2 linked regions of the Rhinolophus ferrumequinum genome follow. The protein of the gene in region 2 purifies or fractionates together with the protein of the main gene of each other region. This does not show direct contact. Links are inferred from orthologs where the notes say so. Each region holds a gene or a part of one and is shown on either strand. Other genes may lie near its edges.

Region 1 (12,455 bases), on a different chromosome or scaffold from region 2:
TGACCTCTGAAATCAGAAAACAGTAAGCACGTTTACCAAGAAAAAGTGAAAGGAAGAGCAGGGCTTCTCTGGATTGTTTTCACAATACCAAAGCCAAGGTCAGAGACTGATCAGGGCGTGGACTTCCACAGCTTCCAGAGGGAAGCCGCCTGCCACTCAAAGGGACGGGGCTCCTGGTGGAAAAGACTGAGCCCCACACCCCATCACACGAGAGCTCTGTGCAGGCAGAGTCACCCAGTGCAGGGCCCGAGGGGACTGCAGGGGCCCCAGAACCAGAGGTGAGTCCACAGGGGCATCTATGACAACAAGAACAAAGCAGCCCGTGGGACGAAGCACAAATGCGCTGGAGCCACGAGCTCACAGTGACACTACTAACAAGTGACGACTCAAAATGTCCGACCCACTCGTCACTGTGGGAGGACGCTAGTGAAAACTGGTGAACAAAGGGAAAGAATCAGGCATTTTCTGGAAACCAAACTGTGACGAGGGCTGTGTCCCACAGACGTGTTCAGGCTACAGTATGAAGGAGAAATGGAACCGTTCTGCAAGCCCGAGGAGGGAAGCCGTCATGCACTGACCCCACTGCAGGGACCGCCGCCTCCCGAGGAGGACAGTGGACAGGCTGCTGTAGCAAGAGCTAATGGCACAACCTGGAGACACGGGGCTGAAGACATGCCCCGCCACCCCCCCACCCCGCGCACACCGGCACTGCCGGGACCACTGCCGGGACCACGGCGCCCTGGAGCCCGGAGACGCCAGGAGCGGCGCCCAGCCAGCACGCGCACCTGCCTCTCGCAGTAGGCCTTCATCAGCTTGCTCAGCGGGGTGTGTCTCTTGATTTTGAACTGGACCACGGAGCCGTCCTGCCCGGCCACCTTCAGGTTGATGTGGTCGTTTTCCGTCTTCACGCCCTCCTGCAAAAGACGCAAAACGGGGTCGCAACACTGTGTCTCAAATCACCACAAGACTTTAGGTGGTTGCTGGGCTCTTCGTCAAGTCATTCAAAGCAACCCAACTCTTAAAATTCTCCAGCAATCCAGTCACTCGTGTGACTTTTATTATTACAAAGAATTTATTTCTAACTTCTATTGATATTTATCAGGCATCCACGTGAAGGAATGCAATCTACAGAGTTCATAGTTAATTCAAAGAAAAAATTCTTCTTAATAAATTTAGGAAAAAGCTGAAAGCCCATGTCTGTCATAAGATGACGCCTGCGCAGCCGGACCACTGTGCTATGTGACAGACCTGCCCAGTCAGGTTTTATACACTGGCTGCCACCTTTCCTCTGCACACGCCAACAGCCCTGGGAGGGAAGCCAGCCCTCGCCTGTGCAGGTTCCCGTTCCATCAGTCCCATCTGAGCTGAGCGGGGACATGTTATCTTTACATGATCCCTGACACACGCATGCTCAACAATCACACACGGGTTTCCTGTCTCCTGGAAACACACGTGTCCTGGAGCAGGGGCTCAGTCTGAGGCATTTCCTAGGAACCAGAGTGACGCACCCGCGTGTGACGCGCCCACAAGGGTCCTGCAGGCAGAGCCGCCTCATCTATCTGGCTGTTTGGGAATAAAGGAGTCCTTTATTTTTGAACAAAATGATGAAGCTGACCCCGAGTCAATTTGCTAATAAAGTTCTGATGGAAATCAAAGTGTATTCTGCACTTTCTCCAGCTGCCACACATGCTCTTTTCCCTGATGTGTCACTTGTCAGTGCAGCCCCGGAGGACCTGACCCCCCCACATCAGGGGCTCAGGGCCAGGACGAAAGAGGGGCCCTGCAGGATTCCACACCTGCTCCCCTGCCCATCCTGCTGGGACAACTGGGTCCCTTGTTCCCCTCCCTGTGTGCCCAGCCATCCTAACAGAAGGGGACAGGGGGTGATGGGGTGGAGTGGGGGGCAGGCAGCTGCATCCTGCATGCTGGCTCCAGGACATCCCAAGTGGGGGCACAGCTCTGACCAGGGAGCTCGGAGTGGCCCCAGAAGTGGTCCCAGGAGGCAAGACCCCAGCAAGGAGCCTAAAGGAAGACATCCTGGGGTGGCACTTACTGGCCACACCGCAGCCCACCCAGCACCTGGGCACAGGCACCACTCACGCCCTCCCTCTCCACAAGTGGGGGGCACTCAGTGACCCGAGGCCAAATGGGCTAGGGGGACCCTCTAGGAGCACCCACTTCATTCCCTAGAGACTAAGGAAGCATTTGCTTTTTATTCCAATAAATGTTTTATTTTAGAATTTTACATTTACAGAAAAGTTGCACAGCAGAGGTGGAGAGATCCTATGTGCCCCTCACACGCTTTCCCTTATGTGAACAGCTCACACAGGCGTGCGGGACGTGTCACGCCTAAGAAACCAACACTGCCCATCACTAGCAATGAAACCTCAAGCTTTTCTGGTATCCGCCAGTTTTTCCATTGTCCTGTTTCCTTTCCATTTGCTGTTCCAGGATCCAATCCAGGGGACTACATTGCATATAGAGATAGGATTTTTTTTTCAATTTTTTCATTGTGTTAAAATACGCATAATGTATAATTTACCATTTTAACCATTTTTACTGGCATTAAGTACATTCACAATGTTGTGCGACCATCACCACGTGGCATCCACCTCCAGAAGTCTTTTCATGGTATAAAACTGAAACTCTGTTGCCATTAAACACTAACTCCTGTCCTCCAGCCCCTGGCACCAGCATCCTACCTTGTCTCTCTCACTTTGACTATTCTAGGATCTCACATAAGGGGATTATACGGAATCTATCTTTCTTTGCCTGGCTTATTGAACCTAGCGTCACGTGCTCCGGGTTCATCCATGTCGTAGCAGGTGTCAGAAGGTCCTTCCTTTCTAAGGCTGAAGAATACACTCTGTTGTGTGTATAGACCACAGTATGTGTATCCGTCGATAGTCACCTGGGTGGCTTCCACATTTTAGCTCTTGTGAATAATGCTGCAATGAATATGGGGGTGCAAATATCTCAAGACCCTGCTTCCAGTTATTTTGGGTATATACCCAGAAGTAGGATTGCTGGGTTTGATGGTAAATCCCTTTTTAATGTTTTGAGGAGCTGTTTTTCACAGCTGCTGCACCTTCTTATATTCCTGCCAACAGTACACAATGGCTCCCTTTTCCCTACTCCTGGCCAACACTTGTTTTCTGTTTTTCTGATAGTGGCCATCCAGATGGGTGACGTCTTGATTTGCATTTCCTCAGGGACCGGTGATGGTGGGCGTCTTCTCATGTCCTTATTGGCCATTTGCATGTCTTCTTTTGGGAAATGTCTACTCAAGTCCTTTGCTCATTTTTGAATGGGGTTCTTAGTTGTTGAGTTTTAGGAGTTCTCTATATATTCCAGATATCTCATCAGACATATGATTTGCAAATATCTTCTCCTCTTCTCCAGGTTGCCTTTTTACTCTGTTGCTAGTGTCCTTTGATGCACAAATTTTTTTTAATTTTCACGAAGTCCAGTTTGTCTATTTTTTCTCGTATTACCTGTGCCTTTGGCGTCACTTCCAAGAAAGCATCGCCAAGTCCAATGTTGTAAAGTTTTTGTCCTGTTTTCTCCTAAGAGTGTTACTGATTTAGGTCCTTAATTTTTGTACATGGTATTTAAAAAGATCCAATTTCATTCTTTTGCATGTGGACAGAAGATGCATTTGCTTTTATAATGAAAAAATACAGAAGTATTCAAAAAAACAGGAGCAGGGAACGGAACACAAAACAAAGAGAAACACGGGGCGGAGGGTCCCCAGGGACGATGGCAGCACCAGCTCCCTCAAGGGGTGGGTGTAGCCAGGAAAGGTCCCAGGTACCTGTCCCCAAACCCCTCGTGACTTACTAACAAACAAGCAGTAAAGGAAAAAACCATAACCCTAATGACAACCACCACAATGCACTGTGGTCTGTCCCGTCTCAGCCACCCCGGGGGGAGAGAAGCTGCTTTCCCAGCTGAGCCCCAAGGGTTTCCTCCCGCAGCATGATGGTCTAGGAACACACCTCCTACCGTCCTCTCCTGGCACATAGCGGAGTGCTCCCAGCATGCACCCAGGGCACCGCAAAACATTCCGTTGTCTTGGACACAGGTAAAACACGTTTATTCAACTTAAAGGACCATGGAAGTGGACCCCATGGGAGGGCTAAGTTTAAACACACTGAAGAAATGAGGAACAGGTGGAGGCCACCCAGAAAACCATAGAGGCATTTATATTTGGCAGAACAAATCATCTGGGCTGGGAGGAGTGATAAGAAAAGGCTTAGAACCAAAATGTACTAAGTGAAGGCCGCTGCAACCACATCTGGAGAGAGGTTTGCCTGGAGTGTAACCTTTTCTCAAAGCAGGGCAGGAGAGTGCAGGCTTCCACAGCCTCTGTGCTGCTGGGAACGTGCTGGGCTCCCGTCTGGGCTGCAGAAGGTGCAATCTCCAGTTCCAGGGCGGTATCAGAGGAAGCCTATGAGCAAGGCATTCGACTCAACGGCAGATCTTCCTCTTAGTAAAAAGAAACTGGCCCTAACAGCGCAGACGCAAAGCTTTAGACACATGTTTTAAATAATAGTAGTTAAACCCACTACTAAATAAATAGTAGTGCCCGCTTACCTTTGGAAGGGCTGAGGCCAACGCCTGGGAGGCGCGCACACTAGAGGGCGCCATGGGGACGGGTGGGCGCACACCAGAGGATGCGACCGGGAGGGTGGGCGCACACCAGAGGACAGCGACGGGGAGGGTGGGCGCACACCAGAGGACAGCGACGGGGAGGGTGGGCGCACACCAGAGGACAGCGACGGGGAGGGTGGGCGCACACCAGAGGACAGCGACGGGGAGGGTGGGCGCACACCAGAGGACAGCGACGGGGAGGGTGGGCGCACACCAGAGGACAGCGACGGGGAGGGTGGGTGCACCGGAGGACGCGGCAGGAGGGGCTGTCCGCTTAAGATTGGCAAGGCGCGCAGACAGGCCAGGCCTCTCGGGGCCCCTCGGGAGTGGCCTGCAGTAAAGACTTAGGCGGGGGCCTCAGCAGACAGCGCCGGGGCTTTCCGAGGACGTGGGTGTACTAGGGGGAGGCCTCCACGACGAAGGAGGTCCCCGGGGACGGGTGTTCCGGGGGAGGGATCCCCGCGGGGGACGGAGGAGAGCGTTTCTCCGTGAAACGGACGGGTGGCCGCGTCCGAGATTCCCGCTACTGGATGTGAGCGGGAAGAGGGGGTTTCCGGTGGGAGAGAGGGTATGTCGGTGGAGCGTACCCCGGCGGGGGACTCCACGGAAGAGAGGGTCCGGATGCGGCAAAGGGTCCAGCGGGGAAGGGGCAGTAGAGACTGGGAATCCGGGCAAGGAGAGTCCCGCTCTACCTCCCAGCGCCGCAAGGTCCCGCTCTTGGCCCTAGGTCAGCTCCAGGCGGGGTTCCCCGCTGGGCAGGGCGGAGCCTCATCGGGGGAGGGGCCCGGGCAGTCCCGCAGCGCGTGGAAGGCGGAGCGGGACTCGTAAGGGTGGAGCTGTCGGGCGGGGGCGGGGCGCGGAGCAGTTTGGGCGGAGCCTGGACGGAGGGCGGGGCGCGGCCTGGGCCGAGAGGGCGGAGCCTGGACGGGGGCGGGGGAGGGGAGCCGAGCAGCGCAGCGGCAAAGGGGGGAGGGGTGGAGGAAAGGTGGGGGTGGGGTGGAGAAAGTGGGGGAGGGGCGGGAGGCCCAACGCTGGGAGGCCCCGCCAGTGCCGCCGTTCCTGGCCCGAGGCAGAGCCCGGCCGCGGAGGGCGCGCGGTGTGCGGCGGGGACGGCGGGTGGCACGCGGGCGGGGGTTGACCCCGGGTGCCGGCCAGCGCCCACCGGCTCTTACCTTGGGCTTCTCCTCGGACATGGCTGCGCACGGCGGCGAGGCGGCAACGGGGAATTAGACAGCGCCGGAGCCGGCGAGTCACGCTCTCGGCCCGCCGCTCTCCCGCCGCAAATGCTCGCGGGGCCGCGCTTTGCCCCCCAAATCCCGGAGCGCTGGTTGGCCGGGGCGAGATCACGTGGTGGACGCGCGTGCACGACGCGCGTGCCCGGGCCGTCGAGCGCGCGCCCGGCGGGGCCGAGGTTCTTGGCGGTTAGGAATGCGTCACGGGGCGGGGCCTCGCGCGATCCCAGCGGTCCCCCCTCCCGGGGACGCTCAGGGCTCTGGGCTCGGGGGCCGCGCTGGCACCTCCGGGGAGCTCAGGGCAGCGAGGGCGGGGGGCCAGAGGGGCGCACTGAGAGCCTAGACCATCAGGCCGGGCCAGGTGCCGCGTCAGAGACAAGGCCTGGCGCGTTACCTCGGGGCCTGGCTGCCACCTCAGTGCCATGGTCCACAGACCTGGTCCCTCATCTACTTAGGTAACTCAGCCAGCCAAGCCCAGGCCTACCCACTCATTTCCTCCTTTCCGAAGGAAAAGGAAAATAAGACCGTCTGGTGAACCACCTCCAATGACCACAGGAGACCTGGGTGAGCGAGGGGTGCCTCGGAGGTGAGCCCCTCCTGGAAAAGGCTCGGGACCCTTTCACCCAGGAGCCAAATGTCAGGTCATGAAGAACTGCTGGGTGAACCAAGAAGGCAGGCCAAGGCGACCCTCCATAGGCTCCATCCACTCAGGACACTGTATTTGCTGATTTCGAAGCCCACGCAAATTCAAGTCTGATCTCCTTCACCCAGAGCTGCAGGTGGACAGAGGCATAAACAGGGATGTGCATGTCTTACTCTGGCAACGCCTCACTCTGACCTTAGCCAGGCCTTCCTCTGCCGTTTCCTCTTCTCCCTTTGTCTAGTCCCCCTTTGGGGCTTCTGAACCTGGCTACTGGAAGCTGACCACCTGGGGGAGATGGTGGGAGGGGTGTAGGAGGCCCTCTTGTGACCATTTTGCTAACGTTTCTGGAGTGCACACCTTGTGCCAGACGCTAGCCCTCTGCACCTAATCCTCACAGCAACCCATTTCACAGATGAGGAAATTGAGGTGCTGAGGTCAATTTACACACCTGAAGTCCCACAGTTGGTAAGCAGTACAACTGGGATTTGAACACTTGGCAGTTGGTCAGTGAGCGTGACCAGTGTGCTCTACCGCCTCTTGGGGCAAACCCAAGGCTAGACCCCACCAAGATGGTCCACAATGGGCGCTCAGGCAGTCACTGGAAACATGGGGGAGAACGGGGGCCATGGTCAGGATGTCCTTTCAGTACTTTGAGCACACATTCTTAGAAGGCCCTGCCTCCTCTGTCCTCCCTGTCTGTAATCCTGATGCCCTCAGATGAAATGGACCAGGGATGGCTGACATTTATCTACTACTACTCAGGGTGTGCCAAGCCTGGTGCCAAGCTTACCTCATCCCACTCAAGCCTCACAACACCTTGAAGCAGGGACTCTTGTGATCCCTATTTTACCGATTAGGAAATGAAGGTTTAGGGGGAGGGTGGACTGCCCAGGATGATACAGCTAAGAAAGAGCAGGGTCTGGATTTGAACCTGTGATGGGATCATTTCCATCCTGCCTGAGTGAGGCCCAGGCCACTGGTTCCACTCATTTCCTGTTAACATCACAAAGCCATAGATCCAAGTTTTCATGGACTCTAATTTCACAAACCTCTGATTCTTAAAAATCCACTTCTTGGCCAGAGGCACCATTTAGGAGAGGGGAACAGGGCATCCAAAATGGAGCTGCCACATCACAGATTCGCCAAATCTCTCCATGAAAGGTCTGGTCAGAGTCAATCCCCTGTCTCAGCCAGGACCGAGAGTTTGGTCCCTTTCATCCTGGACCCATGGCCCACCTCTGCCAGAGGATCCCTAAGTAGAAGAGCCCACTCAAGCTGTGCTTCCGGGAAAGGGGAGACTTCCGGCACCAGCCCCTTCCGGTACAGAGATGCACAGTGGGGCTCAGACTGCCTCTTGCCCCCACCCCAGATCGTTGGCTGTGGTGTGTGATTTCAGGGAGGCAGTGTTCAGATCCATCATCAACTCTAAGACAGCATCAATGATAAAACATAACATTGTATGTGTCACATACATACTAAGCTATGACAGGTTATGGATGGAAGACACATCCTGTTTTCAGACTTAAAGTGTGAAAAATACATTAACTTAAAATTGATGAAACACAATATCTAAATATGTTACAATTAGAAATTAGACTATGGTCCATTCATAACGAAAGGCTATGTCACTATTAAAAGAAATGTGTAAAGAAAAGAGTAGTTGGTAACAGGAAAAGAAGCTCAGATGATAAGTTTTTAAAAACAAATTATAAAATTATCATGGTTTTGAACAACCATAAAATCTGTATGAAATATTTTGAAAATCTCTTTGAAGACATCAGATAGCTACCAAAACAGAGAAGACTTTCTCTAAGGGGCAGAGATCCCAGCAAGAAAGTGATTTTTTTCCCTTTGAGGTCTTTGGTGATTACTATGATGTATCAGTCTGTTTGGGCCATCGTAACAACATACCATAAAATGAGTGGCTTAAAGAACAGACATTTTTTTTCACAATTCTGGAGACTGGAAGTCCAAGACCAAGGTGCCAGCAGGGTTGGTTTTAGACGAGGCCTCTCTCCTTTGCTTGTAGATGGTCACCGTCTCCCTGTGTTCTTACATGGCCTTTTCTCTGTGTGTGCATGGAGAGAGGGAGAGGGAGAGAGGCAGGAAGAGGGAGGGGACGGAGAGAAACACACACGCACAGTGCAGTCCATAATATATGCAGTGGACAAGAAGCTGAGACACAGAGCAGAGCTTTTGAGTCTGTTAGGTGGGGGAGACAATAACTGGACATGGCCAACAGGATGATAAACTGGGGGTCGGGGGCACTCTGATCAATAACCTGGACCTTGAGCTGGAGCACTGAGCTCTACAACAAAGTAGTAAGGCTGACATCCTCACAAAGACTGAAACCAGCACCAGACAGCTCACTCCCAAGTTGGACTAAGCTGATCTCTCCTTCTCATTGCCAGCCTGAAGCAAAAAGAAATCTCTGGAGGAAAACATCATCTCAGGCCTCAAATTAACTAAAATAGCTTCATACGCAATATACAGAATTGAATAAAAGTTTACAAAGAAAACCAGAATACAAATGATCCAACACCAAGAAAAGTGTATGTGTGTGTGTGTGTGTGTGTGTGTGTGTGTGTGTGTGTAGAGAGAGAGAGAATAAATCCACAGGAAAACAGGATATTGGCATTATCAGACACAGACTTTAAAGTAACTTTAAATAATATGTTCAAGGAAACATGAGATGAAATTTTTCAGCAGAGAAGTAGAATCTATTAAAAAAAAAGAATCAAATATAAATTTGAAGACAAAAATGCAATAATTGAAATTACGAATTAGGTAGATGGGTTTAACAACAGATTAGACACAGTGGGAGAGATGATTATGAACTGGAAGATAAAATTCAGAAGAAATTTTATTTCTTCTGAATATTTTCAGAAGAAAATATTCAGACAGAAGCAGAGAGAGAAAAAAGTATGGAAAATATAGTAAAAGATATATGAAATATAGTGGAAATACATAACATATTTGTAAAATGGAATTCCAGAAGAAGAAAAAAGAATAGTCCAGAAGCAATAGTTGAAAGATAAAAAAAGGGGATTTTTCAAAATTCACCACAGATAACACACCACAGATTAAAGAGAAACTACCAACCCAAATGAGAAATAAAAAGGAAACCACACCTAACTATATGACAGTAAGCCTGCTGAAGACCAAAGAGAATATCATTGTTTTAAGGAAAAACAAAAAGACTCACATCGCACTTTGCAACAGAGACATTGAAGCCAGGTGACAATGGAATGGCATCTATCAAATGGTGAAAGAGAAGAACTACCTACATAGAGTTCTATATCAATTAAAATTTTGTATAAAAATAGAAGTAAAATAAAGATATTTCAGAAAAAGCAAATCATCTAGAATTCATTGCCAGAAAGCATACACTAAAGGCAATACCAAAGAAATATCTTCCTGCGGAGAGAAATTGACCCCAGATGGAAGCATGGATATATTAATACAATGGGGAACAAAGAGAGAAGGAAACATGGAAATAGAACAAAAAGCATACATACGTAGGTAAATCTAAATGCATAATGACTCTGTAAAACAACAATAATGTCTTCTGGGCATTCATCCACCCACCTACCCACCCATCCATCGTCAATGCATCTATTACAGGGCATTGGCTGCCACAATCATGGGACTGTTAAGTCCCACGGCATCCCATCTGTTGCTGGGGCTTCAAGCTGCAGGGTGGGCAGACAGGAAGGGAGGGTCATGAGCTGCAAGGGCTCTCAAGCAGAGGCTGCGCCACCTCCACGTTCGTTGCCTCAGCCCTCTTCCACAAGGGGGTCCTGCAGAAGCAGGGCCCTTTGTCATGGAGCTGACTGCTCACTCCTGGCTTGCTGCTGTATCCCAGTAAATAGGCAGAATGGCTGCTGCCACCTTTCTGTGCTCCAGAATCTCCCAGGAGCCTGTCTTGGGCCCATCCCAACTGGAAACACACAAGAAAGGGAATTCTGAGGTATTCCCCACCAGCCACCTTGACGTGTTGGAAAGCTCACTCACTACCTCAAATGGCATATGCCAATCTATTTGTTCATTATCTGTCTCGTGCCCCAGGACAGTGCTAGTACCTGCTACAAGCTCAGCAAGACTTTGTGAAATTGATGGGTGCGTGGGTGGGTGGGTAGACTGATGGATGGATGGATGGATGGATGGAAGGATGGATGATGGATGGATTGTGGATGGATGGATGGATGGATGGATGGATGGAAGGATGGATGATGGATGGATTGTGGATGGATGGATGGATGATGGATGGATTGTGGATGGATGGATGGATGGATGGTGGGTGTGTGCATGGGTGGATGCGTGATGGATGATGGATGGATGGATGGATAGATACATGAGTGGGGGGTAGTGGGTAGATGGATGGATGCGTAGATGGATGGATAGACAGACAGATACCCTACTGCTTCTGCTTCTGTGGTTAAACCCTGCTATATTAGGTGGCCAGAAGAACTGAACAATAGATCTAAGTTAGAAAACAGGTCCTATCAAAGGAGAGCTCTTCAGGTAGGTGGCCAGGGAAAATGCACACACCTGAACAGAGAGAGAGCAGGGACAGGAGCTACCAGGATGCCTAAGAAGGTGCTCCAGGGAGCAAGCATAGCCGAGAGGGAGCTGGTGGCTGCAAGAGGGAGATTCAAGTGGAGGAGCCCAAGGGGCCTTCTTGAGTGCAGGACATGAGTGACTCCATCTTAAGGCTAACCCGCCATCTTGCTGTCTGGGTAAGCCTGGATCCCTGACCCTTGACCCTCGACACTCTCCCCTACCTTGGCTATGTACACACAGCTCTGGGCTGGTCACAGGATTTCCCTTAGTTCTCTCCAGCAGGGGGCCCTCAATGTTGTCTTAACTTTCTCCCTGTTAAACTGAACAACCCACAAGCTGGACTTGTCTGGCCCCCCTTTGTCCTCTTGGCTCCTTGGGCATTTGGGGGCTGCTTTGCTACACAGCCCTCTTCTGAAATTTAGGCCTAGGGCCTATTTCTAACTAAGTGCAGTGGGAGCTGTCGGGATTATGTGGGTCCGCACCATGAAAAGTGCAGTGTAAAGGGGTCCCTCAGGCCAGGGAGGAGGACAGGCTGCGGGGCAGAAGGGGCAGCAGATAGCAGTAGGGCCAGCCGAGCTGGGTGTCTGGGGAGGGGCAGAGAGGGTGCGGCATGGACCTGGGGGGGGGGGCAGCACAGGGACACCGTGGGCCTGGGTGACAGGGTCTGGCTCGGACTGGCCGTGGTGAGAGGCCTGTGGGACACATGGGGTCAGGGGGAAGTGCGGCTGGTAAGGAGCGTGGAGTTGGTCACCTGGGGCCTGAGGAGACTGTCCGGGGAGGTGTGGAGGCTGGCATTGCCAGTCCCCCCCGCCCCCAGATCTGGGCTGCGGGCTCTGATCCTGGAACCCAGCACCATGTGCTTTCCGAGCACAGCCCCGAGCTCCCCGTGTCCCCTGAAACAGCCTCTCCTAATCATGGTGTCTGGGCCCCTGGAATTCAGTCACCCGTCCCAGCCCTGTGGCTGAGCACGCAGGCGTCTCTGCACTGGCCCCACCTCTCCAGGCCAGTGTCCACTTGCGGGGGGGGGCGCGCCCTGGCAACCCTCTTGGGAAATGGGCCCGGGTCTCCGTTGCAAGTCATCTAACCTCATGCTCCCGCCCTACGGTGGTTTCCGCTCGTAAAAATCCCTTCCTAAGGCTTCCGAGCCAGCTCAGGACAGCGCTGCCTCCCGCCAGGGCGGGGCCCGCCTCTCAGGTATTGGGTGTCAATCATCCAACCCCCTCCCACAGCACTGCCTCCTGTCGGGGCGGGGCCCGCCTCTCAGGTCCTGGGTGTCAATCATCCAACCCCCTCTGGATGGCAGCTGGTGCCCTTGCAGCCTGCTCTCCCATCAGTCACCCAGTTAGCAATCCTCTGCAGCGAGG
Region 2 (12,750 bases):
TTACAAGAGTTACTGCATCCTCCCAGGTAATGGCTTAGTCACTCCCTAACCAATTACAAATGACTACGTGCCAAGGATCTTCAGGGTCACTTTCAAGATCAGTCTGTTAACTAATAAATCATTTAACACCATGGATCTATTTTAACTCTTCAAAATAGTTTGACTCCTCTTATTTTTCTTTTTATAATTCCTGTACATTTCATTTTAATAATACAAAGCAACTCAGCAAAAGTGTTTATTTCCAAAGTCTTATCTACAAGATACTTGATATGGCCCTCTATTGCCTGGTCATTCCATGATTTCTAAACATCTTTTCCCCACAGAGAGGTTATTTGATCCTGTTATTGGCCTTTTCCTCTGAAATCAGAAAGTATCACAGCATAGTGCAACAGCTTTGGATTCAGAACTTTGAAATGGATTCAGAACTTTAAAATGAGGGTTTAAAAAAACTTTTTATTGTGGAATATTTAAACATATACAAAAATAGAGGAAGGAGTAAAATGAAAAAAACATCACCCAACTTCAGTGATTATAAACTCATAGCCAGGCTCAGTTCCTTACTCCCACCCACTGACCACCCCCCAATTCTGCTAGATTGAATCCAAATCCTAGAGTTATCCCATTTAGCTAGCTAGCTCCCCACATATACACTCATACCTTTATTAGGTTAAATAGTGTTTCCCTCCCTGCAAATTCATGGCCTTCCTAGAACCTCAGAATGTGACCTTACATAGAAATAGGACCATTGACGATATAACTAATTAAATTAGATGAAGTCACACTGAAGTAGGGTGGACCCTTAATCCAATATGGCATCATAAGAAGGATCCATCCTAATACTTTCATCTTTATTTGACCTTCCAAGTAAGGTCACATTCATAGGTAGCAGGGATTAGGACTTGAACATATTTTTTGGGAGGACACAATTCTTCTACCCATAACACCTTTTATAGATGAAAAATCCATCAATTTATAATTAAATATTTTAGATTTATTATTGGTATTATAATTTTATTAAAACCTATTAGTTTTATCACTTGATTCCCTTAAGTTCCTACTCTAACCAGTGTCTACAGACTGACTTAGAAAGTGTGATTGCAAGTTGTACAGAGCCATAAGAAATATTCAGAGCTTAGTTGAATGTCTTAAATAGCCCTAAGAGTTAAATGGTCCGAACAGGAAAAGACTAGAATGAGCAGCACACAGATCTTTGTTCTATGGTTCTCCCCCGACTGCATTTTAGAATCATCTGGGGAGCATTTTGTAAAAATCCGAATGTCTCAGCTCCACCCAGACCAATTAATCAGAGTCTCTGGAGGAGGGACCAGGGCACCATATTTGCTGAAAAGCTCTCTAGGTAATTCTAATCTTCAGGTGGGATTGAGAACCAGTGACTTGGTTAATGGTGAGCAGGCACCTGGGTGCAGCTAATTAATTATGTAATCCTTAAACCCAGGAGCCTGATCTACTACATAACTGCTCTCCACCCCTTTTAAGTTACAAAGTTTCACTTTGGGCAGCTGTTCTAATTAGATGTTGTTGAAAAACTAACTGCCCCATGGGTAAATAAATACCTAGGAGAACTGAATGCAGGGTCTCAAAGAGACACTGCTATACCCATCTTCATAGCAGCATTATTCATCATCGTCAAAAAGCCCCAAGTGAGGGGGTCCCAATAAGACCCAAGTGTCTTATTGATAGATGAGTGGATAAACAAAATGAGGTATATACTTACAATGGAATATATGCAGCCTTAAAGAGGAAGGCAATTCTGACACATGCTACACGTAGATGACACTTGTGGACATTATGCTAAGTGAATGAAATAAGCCAGTCACAAAAAGACAAATATTGTATGATTTCACTTATGTAAAATATCTAGAATAGGCAATCTCATAGAAACAGAAGTAAAATGGTGATTGCCAGGGGCTGGATGGAGAGAGAAAAGGGAAGGTGTTTTCTTTTTCGTTCTTTTTTTTCTTCAGTAATGGGTAAGATAGTACATTTTATGTTATGCGTATTTTACCACAATTTAAAAAATGCTCTGAAATTTAGTGGCTTGAAGCAGCAATCATTTCCCTTTTTTCCTATAATCTTTTAAAATTTTCATTAAATTTATTGGGGGAACATTGGTTAATAACATTACATACATTTTGGATGTATAACTTTATAACATGACATCTCTATACTGTATTGTGTACTTACTACCTGAAGAGTAGTCTCCTTCTATCACCATGTATTTGACCCCCTCATTTCGTTATCTTTCACAGTACCTGTGGGTCAGGAAGGCTTGGCTGTCTGATTCTGGCCTGGGATTTCTGTGGTTGCATACCACGTGTCTAGAAATGGAATAGTGGAAGGCTTGAAAGCTGGGGGCTGAGTTGGCATCTCTTTCTCTTTGTGTAATTTCAGGGCTTCTCCATGTGGTTTCTGCTCATGGGTTGGGCTTCCTCTCAACCTGCAGTCTCAGGGTAATGGGACTGCTTATCTGATTTATCAGGGCTCAAACTCAAGTGTTCCCATGCACAGGGTGAAAGTGACCTCCCCTTTCCTGATTTAGCTTGGCAGTAAAGCAATGTCCCTTCTGCCACATTCTATTGGTCAGTCACCAAAGCCAGAATAGTTTCAAGGGAAATGAACGTCCCTCAATGGGAGCAGTGTCAAAGGGATGTTGCAAAAAGGGCATGTAGGGGTGGCCAGATGGCTCAGTTGGTTAGAGAAGAGCTGTGCTCTTAACAACAAAGTTGCCAGTTGGATCCCCACAGGGGCCACTGTGAGATGCGCCCTCACAACTAGATTGAAACAATTACTTAACTTGGAGCTAATAGGTCCTGGAAAAACATACTTAAACAAATAAAAGTTTGTGGGGTTTTTTTGTTTTTTTTAAAGAGCATGTAGGTTGAGAGACACTGTTGTAGCCATCTTTGCAAAATGCAATCAGCCATAGGGAAGGTCAAAAGAATTAAGTAAATCCCCTTGTTGCCATAATTATTTCCTTAGTTGGCATCATTTTACCCTGGGAATATTTGGAGTTAAATATAGAAATGTTCATGTGACTCAAACCTCTGGAATTAATGTTTTGGTTTAAGGAATTTGTGCATATTTGGCTTTTTATATGGTGGAAATATTTAAGAAAATCTGGCCTACTGGGGTTTCCTGGTGAGATTTGTAGTTCTGAAAACTTTTCCCTGTAATGAATCTGGATAAATGATATATGACTATTCACTGGACTATTTCTTTTGTTTAAGCTTGATCTTCAAGATAAAATTTTTTTATAAAATAAAATAAAAATTACCAACCCATTCTCATTCTGTCGCTGAACTTCCACCCATCAGGACCCTCATCTCATCCTCTGGAATAGGATAAGGAGTAAGATCACAGTTGAAGGCTGGATTGGGGGTCAGGAAAGCAGTTAGGAAAGGTCCTTTCCTAGGGAGTCAAGTAATTTTGGAAGAAACATTACAAATTTATAGAGGCAGGTATGTGCTTCTCAAACTTGCCCATTTCAAAAAGAGCTTCAAATCATTCTATTGTTGTTTTTTTCCCCTTCTTCCGCCTCCCACGGCCCCAGTTCAAGCCGTTGTTTCTCAGTCTAACTGTGTAGGACACAGCTCCCTGGAGCATGCTGGTATTACGAACCTTGTGCTCCCCCTGGCTGAGGCAGTTGGTAGGCCGGCCGCTCCCAGCAGCTCTTCTCAGCTGCCGGCCGCTCATGATGGCTGCTGGCCACTCACGCTGGCCACTGGCCACTCCTGGCAACGCAAGGCAGCCCTGCTCCAGGGACAGCTGTTGTTCACAATCTTAGCTGTAGAGGGCGCAGCTTACTGGCCCATGTAGGAATCGAAACTGCAACGTGGGTGTTAGGAGCACAGCGCTCCAACCACCTGAGCCACCCGGCTAGCCCTCAAATCATTCTAAGCAAAGTGATGCTTATTCTGGAAGAGTTGACTTGTATCTTTAGTTGTCAGGATCCTGAATTTTTTATGTTTTCTATTTACTTCAAAGTACAGTGGTCACTTTGTACAGTGGTCACATTGTAAGTTGTAATTAACAAATAGATTTAAATGCTTTTTAAAAAGACCAAAGAACCTTCCTGCCATCGCGTTCAGACCTAGCTGCTCCAACCTCCAGGGCACGTCCCATCCTTCCAGCCCGCGACCAGCAGCAGAGCAAAAACAATTACATATTTTCTTGCCCCGTACACACCTTGAGGTGAGAAAAAAAAAATTAAATTTGAACCATGAGGGAAATCGTGCACATCCAGGCCGGCCAGTGTGGCAACCACATCGGTGCTAAGTTCTGGGAGGTGATCAGTGATGAACATGGCGTCGACCCCACTGGCACTTACCACAGCAACAGTGACCTGCAGCTGGATCGCATCTCCATGTATTACAATGAAACCACAAGTGGAAAGTATGTTCCTCGTGTGATCTTGGTGGATCTAGAACCCAGGACGATGGACTCTGTTCGCTCAGGTCCTTTTGGCCAGATCTTCAGACCAGACAACTTTGTTTTTGGTCAATCTGGGGCAGGCAACAACTGGGCCAAAGGCCACTATACAGAGGGGGCTGAGCTGGCTGACTCGGTCCTGGACGTGGTGCGGGAGGAGGCTGAGAGCTGTGACTGCCTGCAGGGCTTCCAGCTGACCATTCACTGGGCGGGACCACAGGCTCTGGAACGGGCACGCGGCGCAGCAGCAAGATCCGGGAAGAGTATCCCGACCACATCATGAACACCTTCAGTGTGGTGCCCTCGCCCAAGGTGTCCGACACAGTGGTCGAGCCCTACAACGCCACCCTCTCCGTCCATCAGTTGGTAGAGAATATTGATGAGACCTATTCACACATTGTAATCAATTCGATGCACTGATAACAAGGCCCTTTACGACATCTGCTTCCGCACCCTCAAGCTGACCATACCAACGTATGGGGACCTGAACCACCTGTCTCAGCCACCATGAGTGGTGTGATCACCTGCCTCCGCTTCCCTCGCCAGCTCAATGCTGACCTCCGCAAGCTTGCAGTCAACATGGTGCCCTTCCCACACCTCCACTTCTTCATGCCTGGCTTTGCCCCTCTAACCAGCCGTGGAAGCCAGCAGTATCGGGTCCTCACTGTGCCCGAATTCATCCAGCAGGTATTCGATGCCAAGAACATGATGGCTGCCTGTGACCCCCGCCATGGCCGGTACCTCACCGTGGCTGCTGTCTTCCGTGGGTGGATGTCCATGAAGGAGGTGGACGAGCGGATGCTCAACATGCAGAACGAGAACAGCAGCTACTTCGTGGAGTGGATCCTCAACAATGTGAAGACGGCCGTGTGCGACATCCCACCCCGCGGCCTGAGGATGGCGGTCACCTTCATTGGCAACAGCACGGCCATCCAGGAGCTGTTCCAGCACATCTCGGAGCGGTTCACGGCCATGTTCCGGCACAAGGCCTTCCTGCACTGGTACACGGGCGAGGGCATGGATGAGATGGAGTTCACCAAGGCAGAGAGCAACATGAACGACCTGGTGTCCGAGTACCAGCAGTACCAGAATGCCACCGCGGAAGAGAAGGAGGATTTTGGTAAGGAGGCCGAAGAGGAGGCCTAAGGCCAAGCCCTGTCGTCACTCAGGCGTCTTAGTTCCTTCATTCAGCCTTGTTCCTTATCTGCCCCTCTACTCTCCCTCAGACTTTGCATTTTCTGCCTCTTTTTTCTTTGGGGGTGGTGGTTCTAGAACAGTGTCTGGCACATAAATGGGCGCTCAATGAATATTGTCTCTTTCCACTCTGGGAAATCGAGATTCCTTTCATTTTGAGTAATCTTGCATTTCCTTCTGGTGTCCATTCCTCCCATCTGTCCAGTTAATATTTCCCTCTCTGTTTTGAAGATAATTCTCCAAGAAGCTGGGTCTCATCCAAATCCTGTTTAGAACCATGTGCTGAAAACCCAGATGGATGACCACCATCCTAAGCCCATGTGGTAGCCAAGGGGAAAGGACACCACCCTAACTAGTAGGGAGAGGTCCCTACAGGAAGGGGTAGGGCTTCCCATTCTAGAGTAGTTTGGGAGTGGGATCCAGGCTATTAAAGTCCTAGTTTCCAGGTATTTCCCTGCTCCTCTCTCAGCTTTGGGGGAGGTGTTAACAGTATTGTGTCCATTTTCAGTCTCCCTCCCAGCTCCATCCTGAGCTGTTTCCTTTGTAGGGATCTGCCCCACTCTGTCCAGTGGGATCCTTCCCTCTTCCATTTAACCTCCCTCTCACATTGGATCCCTTCCTTTCTCTGGTTGGAAAAGGGGGTTAAGGGGAAAGGGACCAGTCACTTTGGTCCCTAAGCCTCCAGACAGGCCCTCCACATCCCCACTTTTTCTTACCCCCCAAAAATACCAGTCTTGCTGTATGTGTGTGGAAAGGTATGTACTGCCACCTAAATGTTTGAATCATTCCCCAGAAGGGATGGAACAGGACACCATCTTCTGGCAACATCTCATCTTTTGCTATTGCCATTCCCCCCTACCCCTGGCTTTGTCCTACCCTACACTTCAAATTTCTATTTTGTGTTGAATTTGCTTTTTTTCATATTGAAAAAAAATGACATTGTCCCAAGAACCAAAAATAAATGGGAATTGAAAAAAAAAGGGGGGTGGGTGGGAGGTGGGAGATGAGGGTAAGGGGGATCCAATATATGGTGATGGAAGGAGAACTGACTCCAGGTGGTGAACACACAATGGGATGGGATTTATAGAAGATGTAATACAGAATTGTACACCTGAAATCTATGTAATTTTACTAACAATTGTCACCCCAATAAATTTAAAAAAAGGGAAAAAAAAGACCAAAACAACAAAAAAGAAAAAAGTAAAACAAAGAAAAAACACAAATCCACTTACATGCAGATTTTTTAAATAAATACTGTAAATATATTTTATCTTCTTTATAATTTTCTTAATAACATTTTCTTTTCTTTAGCTTACTTTATTGTAAGAATACATTATATAATACACATAACATACAAAATATGTGTTAATCAACTGTTTTATGTTATCAATTGGGCTTCCAGTCAAAAGTAGGCTATTAGTAGTCAAGTTTTTGGGGAATCAAGTTATATGTGGATTTTCAACTGGGCTGGGGCGAGGGGGTTAGTGCTTCTAACCCCCATATTGTTCAAGGGTCAAGTGTATATTTAAATTTAAAAAGAATTCATAATCTGGTTTCTTGATTAATGCCTTTGTCCCCTTCACCACAGCTCAGCCTTCACTTTTCTTCATTCTTCACGTCTCTACTTGTTCATTACCTCCTCTGAGAAATCTTCCCCAACCCCACAGTACAAAATACTCCCCCCAGAGTTTATGTAAGAGACTAAATTCAGAAAGATGGAGAATGTCAGCACGGAAAGGGAAAAAAGTCAGGGAGAGAACGAGTTGGGGTCAGGCAAAGGGCGGCTGGAGGAGAGACAGGAGAGGGGAAAGTGTGAGGAGAGAGTTGTGGGGGGAAGAATATTTAGGTTATCCAATGCTACGTAATATGTGATCCCAAAACTTGGTGGCATAAATCAACAGCAATCATTTGTTTTGCTTACAGATCAGCACTTTGAGCAGGGCTTGGCAAGAATGCCTTGTCTCTCCTCCATCTGGGGTGACTTGACCCTCTGCCAAAGGATCCACTTCTAAGATGACTCATTCACATAGCCAGCAAGTTGGTGTTGGCTGTTGGCTGCAGCTGTTGACCTGGCTGAGAGTCAGGAGCTTTGGTGCCTTTCCATGTGGACCTCTCCTTGGGCTGTTTTGGCTTCTGCTAGCATGGAAGCTGGGGTTAAGAGCAAGTGTCCCAAGAGATAGAAAGTGGAAGCTGTCCGTGAGGTCAGGACTTTGACTATTTTATTCACCACTTTATTTCACAACATCCTCAATGCCAGGTTTGCAGCACGCACTCCATAAATACGTGTTGAATGAATAGCCTCATAAACAACCACTTGGGTATCCTCGTGGGGGCCACAGACCGCGCCATTTTTTAGTCAGGATTGGCTGGAGTCTCCGTCACGTGACTAGCAGTCACTGGCCCGCCTTTGAGCCTGGGGAGGTCCACTTGGTCTGTCCGAGGATCTATGGGCTGGCTGGCCCGCGGAGGAGCTACTGCGCAGTCGCGGTTCCTGGCGCAGGCGCAGACGCTGCTGGCGGCGGTTGGAGAGGAGCGGGCCGGCGGGCGGTTGGCGTGAGCAGAAGCGGAGCGCAGGCAGTGAGAGCCGGCGCCATGGTGGAGAAGGAGGAGACAGGCGGCGGAATCAGCGAGGAGGAGGCGGCGCAGTATGACCGGCAGATTCGTCTCTGGGGATTGGAGGCCCAGAAACGGTCAGGGCCGGTGCGGCTTGTGGGGCTGAGGGGCTAGAGCGGTCGTCTGGCCTGAGGCGTTAGCCGCCCTCAGGGAGCGAGGGGGTCTGATTTGAAGAGAGGAGGCGGGAATTCTGTTCCCGGGGGTGGTAGCCCACCTGCGAGGACTGGAAGGGTTGATTTGGGATGTTTCTAGAAGGTATTGCAAGCGGGGACGTCCCAGGGTGGTGAGAGGGCCGTTCGGAGTGATTGGAGGCCTGTGAGAGGGGGCGGGGTGGGGAGTCCTAAGGGATCAGGAGGATTCAAACTCGGGGACTCGGAAGCCCGAATGGGGTGATGGTGGGGTTCAGGTCGGGGCGGGGGGTTAGGGAATAGGAAGGGCCAGGAAAGCCTGGCAGGGATGAAGCGGGGCGGGAGGGCGGGGGCGTAGTTCATTCATTCCTAGAAGGTGGGGACCTGTTCTCCGCCGGATGCTGGGGAGACTGCCGAACCGAACATGTGAGCTTCCTTTCTCGTAGCTTCTGAGCGGTGGGTGGGCCAATCTGAAAGAATGAGGGTTTTGAGGAGTTTGGTGGCAAGTTATTTCTAGGGGGAGTCTTGAGAGGCTTGGAGCGTCTCGGGCGGATGGAGATGCCTTAGGTTGCTGTGTCTAGGTTTGGGGGGGTGTCCAGAGAGGACAGGTTTGGCATACCTGGGGCATTGAGGAGTAGTTATCCAAGGGGATGGCGTCTTTTAAAGAGGTGATTGGTCTGATCAAATATTTATCGAGCACCTGTCTCAAGCATTGTTTTAGGCGCAGCATATATCCCTGAACTAAGCAGACTCCTTACGCACATGGAACTTACATTCTGGTGTTGGAGGCAAACATAAATAATATGTTAAGTAATGCAAGTGTAAGGGAGAAAAAGCAGGATAAGAGGGTCAAGAAAGGATGGTGAAGTGGAGAACTATTTTGATATGGGGTGGCAGGGAAGGCCTCTGAAGAGGTAACACTGTGTCTCAGACCTGTATGAGGGGAAAAAGCCGTCTAGAAGAAAGTCTGCAGTAGAGAACAGCACGTGTAAAATCCTAAAATCCTGGAGGCCAGCGCAGACTTGGGAAATGACAGGAACAGGGTGGCTGGAACCAAATAAGTGGAGGAGTCGCTTTTTTCTTTTTTATTGTAAGTGTGCTGGAAAACCTGTTGGAGAGTTTTGAGTAGGAGTAACATGATCCGATTTGTGTTTTAAAAAGGATCACTTGCTGTGTGGAGAATAGGTTGAAGTGGACAGAAGTGGAAATAAAGATTCCGGTTAGGGCACTACTGCAGTAATTACTGCAATAATCCACTTGAGACATAAGTAATGGGGTTTGGAGCTCTAGAGAAGGGACCAAATATGTATTCTGGATATATTTTGAAGGTAGAGGGGACAGCATTTGCTGAAGGAGTCTGTGTGGGGTATGAAAAGGGGAACTCAAGGATGACTGACTGGGCCTGAAGACATAGGTGGGGTGGACTGATTTTAGGGGCTGCTGTTTGAAGGAACGGGAGTGTTTAGGGCTCCTAAATGCATTAGAAAGGTTGATCCAAGGGATTGGGGATAGCAGGTAGTTTTGTTTGAGGTGGGGTAAAGTTGGTGAGGGTTAAATAGCAATGTAATAAGGGAACTGTCAGAGAGATAGGTATGATTCATCTGAGGAGCAATAAGGAATGGGTGGGGGCTTCTGAGGAGCAGGTGACGTAAGGGGCAAATCAAAGTCAGGGTATGGAATTCTTGGGAGGCCGGAGTTACTCTGAGGTAGTGGAGATGTACTGAACTCTGAGAACCTGGAAAAGATTGGCCGAGGATCCTGGAAGGGAAGGAAAGTGTTCTCTACAACTTGGAATCTATATTTGTAGACAGTCTGACAGTGTCAGTGTTCCCATGTCCATTTTTCAACTGAGTCTCACAACAGCTCTCTGGAGTAGGAAGGGCAGTGATTTCCTCCCCTGTATAGACAGGAAGGAGGTTCCACAAAGCAGATTGAAGGTAGAGGGACAGTTCCCTTGCTTCTAAGGGGACTCCAGGTGTGATAGAAGAACTCTGGGGGCTACTAGGATTCCTTTTGAAATGGGAGGTGGCAGACTGCATTCTGGCTACGGTTTTGCCTCTGTGATGTTGGACCAATGTTGTCAGAACTGGAAGGGAGATTAATAATAGTAAAAAGGGCCTTCCCAGGGAAACTCATACAGTCTAGAGGTTAAAAACTGGCCTGTATCTCATACAGTGTTTTACATTTTTTGAAATTCCTTGCCAGCTTAAAAACCTAGAGAATTGGGGGCTGCCTGTTAGCTCAGTTGGTTAGAGCTGGTTAGAGCGCAGTGCTCTTAACAACAGTGTTTCCGGTTTGATTCCCACATGGGCCACTGTGAGCTGCACCCTCCACAATTAGATTGAAACAACTACTTGACTTGGAGCTGATGGGTCCCAGAAAAACACTTAAAATAAGTAAAAATTAAAAAAAAATTAAAAAAATAAAAATCTAGAGAACTGGCCAGATTAGGGACAGTTTGAGCATCAGAAAGAATAAACTCAACTTCCTTTAATGATATTTAATGACTTAGAACCCATGAAGCCAAGGTAATATTCAAACAAAAGAAAAATAAAAACTCATTTGTCTCTTGGAGGTGATTATTAATAATGTGCCTTCTGATGTGGTGAAATAAGAACTTCAGTGCAGCATCTTTGACATTTTCCTGCTGAATATCTATCTTTTACTCTAAACATGCTTTCAGAGAACAGAAGAACAAATTAAAGGACACCATTGAGGTACTGATAAGATGTCCAGAATATGAAACTTCACAAGACAACTGTATTAGTTCTATTCCAGAAGTCAGTGTCATGGAAAAGAACAAATGAAGGGACTGTTCTAGATTAAGAATAAAGAGGTGGAGCCAAATGCAAGATATGAACCTTGACTGGATTCGGATTCAAGAAGAAAACTTCTACAAAAACATCTTTCAGACAATAGGGGAAATTTGAATACTCAGCCCTGTTCGATGATACGTGGGGATTATTTTCTAGATATACCGTAATAGTATGGTTATGAAGGAGAATGTCATATTTTTGGAGATACACGCTAAAGGCATGAAATGCCATGGTATAGGTTTGTGGGTAAGTCAGTAGGGCAAAATGTTAACTATTTCTACTTTTCTGTATGCTTGAAAGTTTTTGTAATGAGAAGTTCCCCCACCTGGAAGTTTCACATAGAGTTTCTGATTTCTGTCTTTTGAAAAATAGAAAGGTCAGACAACCACACATTACTTGGAGCTAAGTAGGGGCTGCCTCTTTTATGCAGAGCATGGGTTCTCTGCCATTGTCTCCATCAGTTCAGCTTCACGCATTGATATAGCAGGTATGATAAAAAAATACGGTGAATGTTTAAATATACGAACATTATTACAGTAAAAGATACATTGCCATTAATCACCCTCAAAACACACCCCCTCGCTTTGAACACACTTATTCCATTGTTCTCGCCACTTTCTGAAGCAGTTCTGGAAGTCTTTTTTCATGAATGTCTTTAGTTGCGCTGCTGTGTCTGCCTTGATGTCCTGAATCGATTCAAAACATGTACCTTTCACGGTCATTTTGACTTTGGGGAAGAGCCAGAAGTCGCATGGTGCCAGATCCTGTAAATAAGGTGGATGAGGACACACTGTAATATTTTTATTTGACAGAAATTGCCGTACCAGAAGCGATATGTGATACAGCATTGTCATGATGGAGGATGAAACCATTTGCCCATTTTTCAGGCTGTTTTCTTGCACATGGCTTCTTTTTTCTTTTTTTTTAAAGATTTTATTGGGGAACAGTGTGTACTTCCAGGACTTTTTTTCCAAGTCAAGTTGTTGTCCTTTCAGTCTTAGTTGTGGAGGGCGCAGCTCAGCTCCAGGTCCAGTTGCCGTTGCTAGTTGCAGGGTGTGCTGCCCCACCATCCCTTGCGGGAGTCGAGGAATCCAACTGGCAATCTTGTGGTTGAGAGGACGCGCTCCAACCAACTGAGCCATCCGGGAGCTCAGTGGCAGCTCAGCTCAAGGTGCCGTGTTCAATCTTAGTTGTAGGGGGCGGAGCCCACCATCCCTTGTGGGACTCGAGGAGTTGAACTGGCAACCTTGTGGTTGAGAGCCCCCTGGCCCATGTGGGAATCGAACCGGCAGCCTTCGGAGTTAGGAGCACAGAGCTCTAACTGCCTGAGCCACCGGGCCGGCCCCTTACTGTAATAATTTTTAAAAATTTAAACATTCACTGTGTTTTTTGATCACACCTCATCATTGCCCGGCCCCTGTGAGAATGTGAATTTGCATCTCTTGCTGTGGTGCAGAGCTTGTTTTATGGATGAGGTTCAGAGACAGGAGCAAACTCTCCTGAGGTCACACACCAAATAAATAGGATTAGGACTGGATTCATAGTCACTA

Evidence for each region.
Region 1: the proteins of SAE1 (region 2) and SUMO3 purify together in Homo sapiens (affinity purification with mass spectrometry; 3 studies listed by BioGRID and IntAct, with this or other methods). This does not show direct contact. The link is inferred for Rhinolophus ferrumequinum from reciprocal best matches to the Homo sapiens genes SAE1 and SUMO3.

The regions. Positions count from the first base shown.
Region 1 is NC_046285.1:107,875,250-107,887,704, forward strand, and holds the start of SUMO3 (small ubiquitin-related modifier 3), read right to left. Parts: upstream 6,063-12,455; 5' UTR 5,847-6,062; coding exon 5,826-5,846; intron 915-5,825; coding exon 786-914; intron 1-785. UniProt on the Homo sapiens protein: Ubiquitin-like protein which can be covalently attached to target lysines either as a monomer or as a lysine-linked polymer. Does not seem to be involved in protein degradation and may function as an antagonist of ubiquitin in the degradation process.
Region 2 is NC_046298.1:43,149,043-43,161,792, forward strand, and holds the start of SAE1 (SUMO-activating enzyme subunit 1), read left to right. Parts: upstream 1-8,132; 5' UTR 8,133-8,235; coding exon 8,236-8,333; intron 8,334-12,750. UniProt on the Homo sapiens protein: The heterodimer acts as an E1 ligase for SUMO1, SUMO2, SUMO3, and probably SUMO4. It mediates ATP-dependent activation of SUMO proteins followed by formation of a thioester bond between a SUMO protein and a conserved active site cysteine residue on UBA2/SAE2.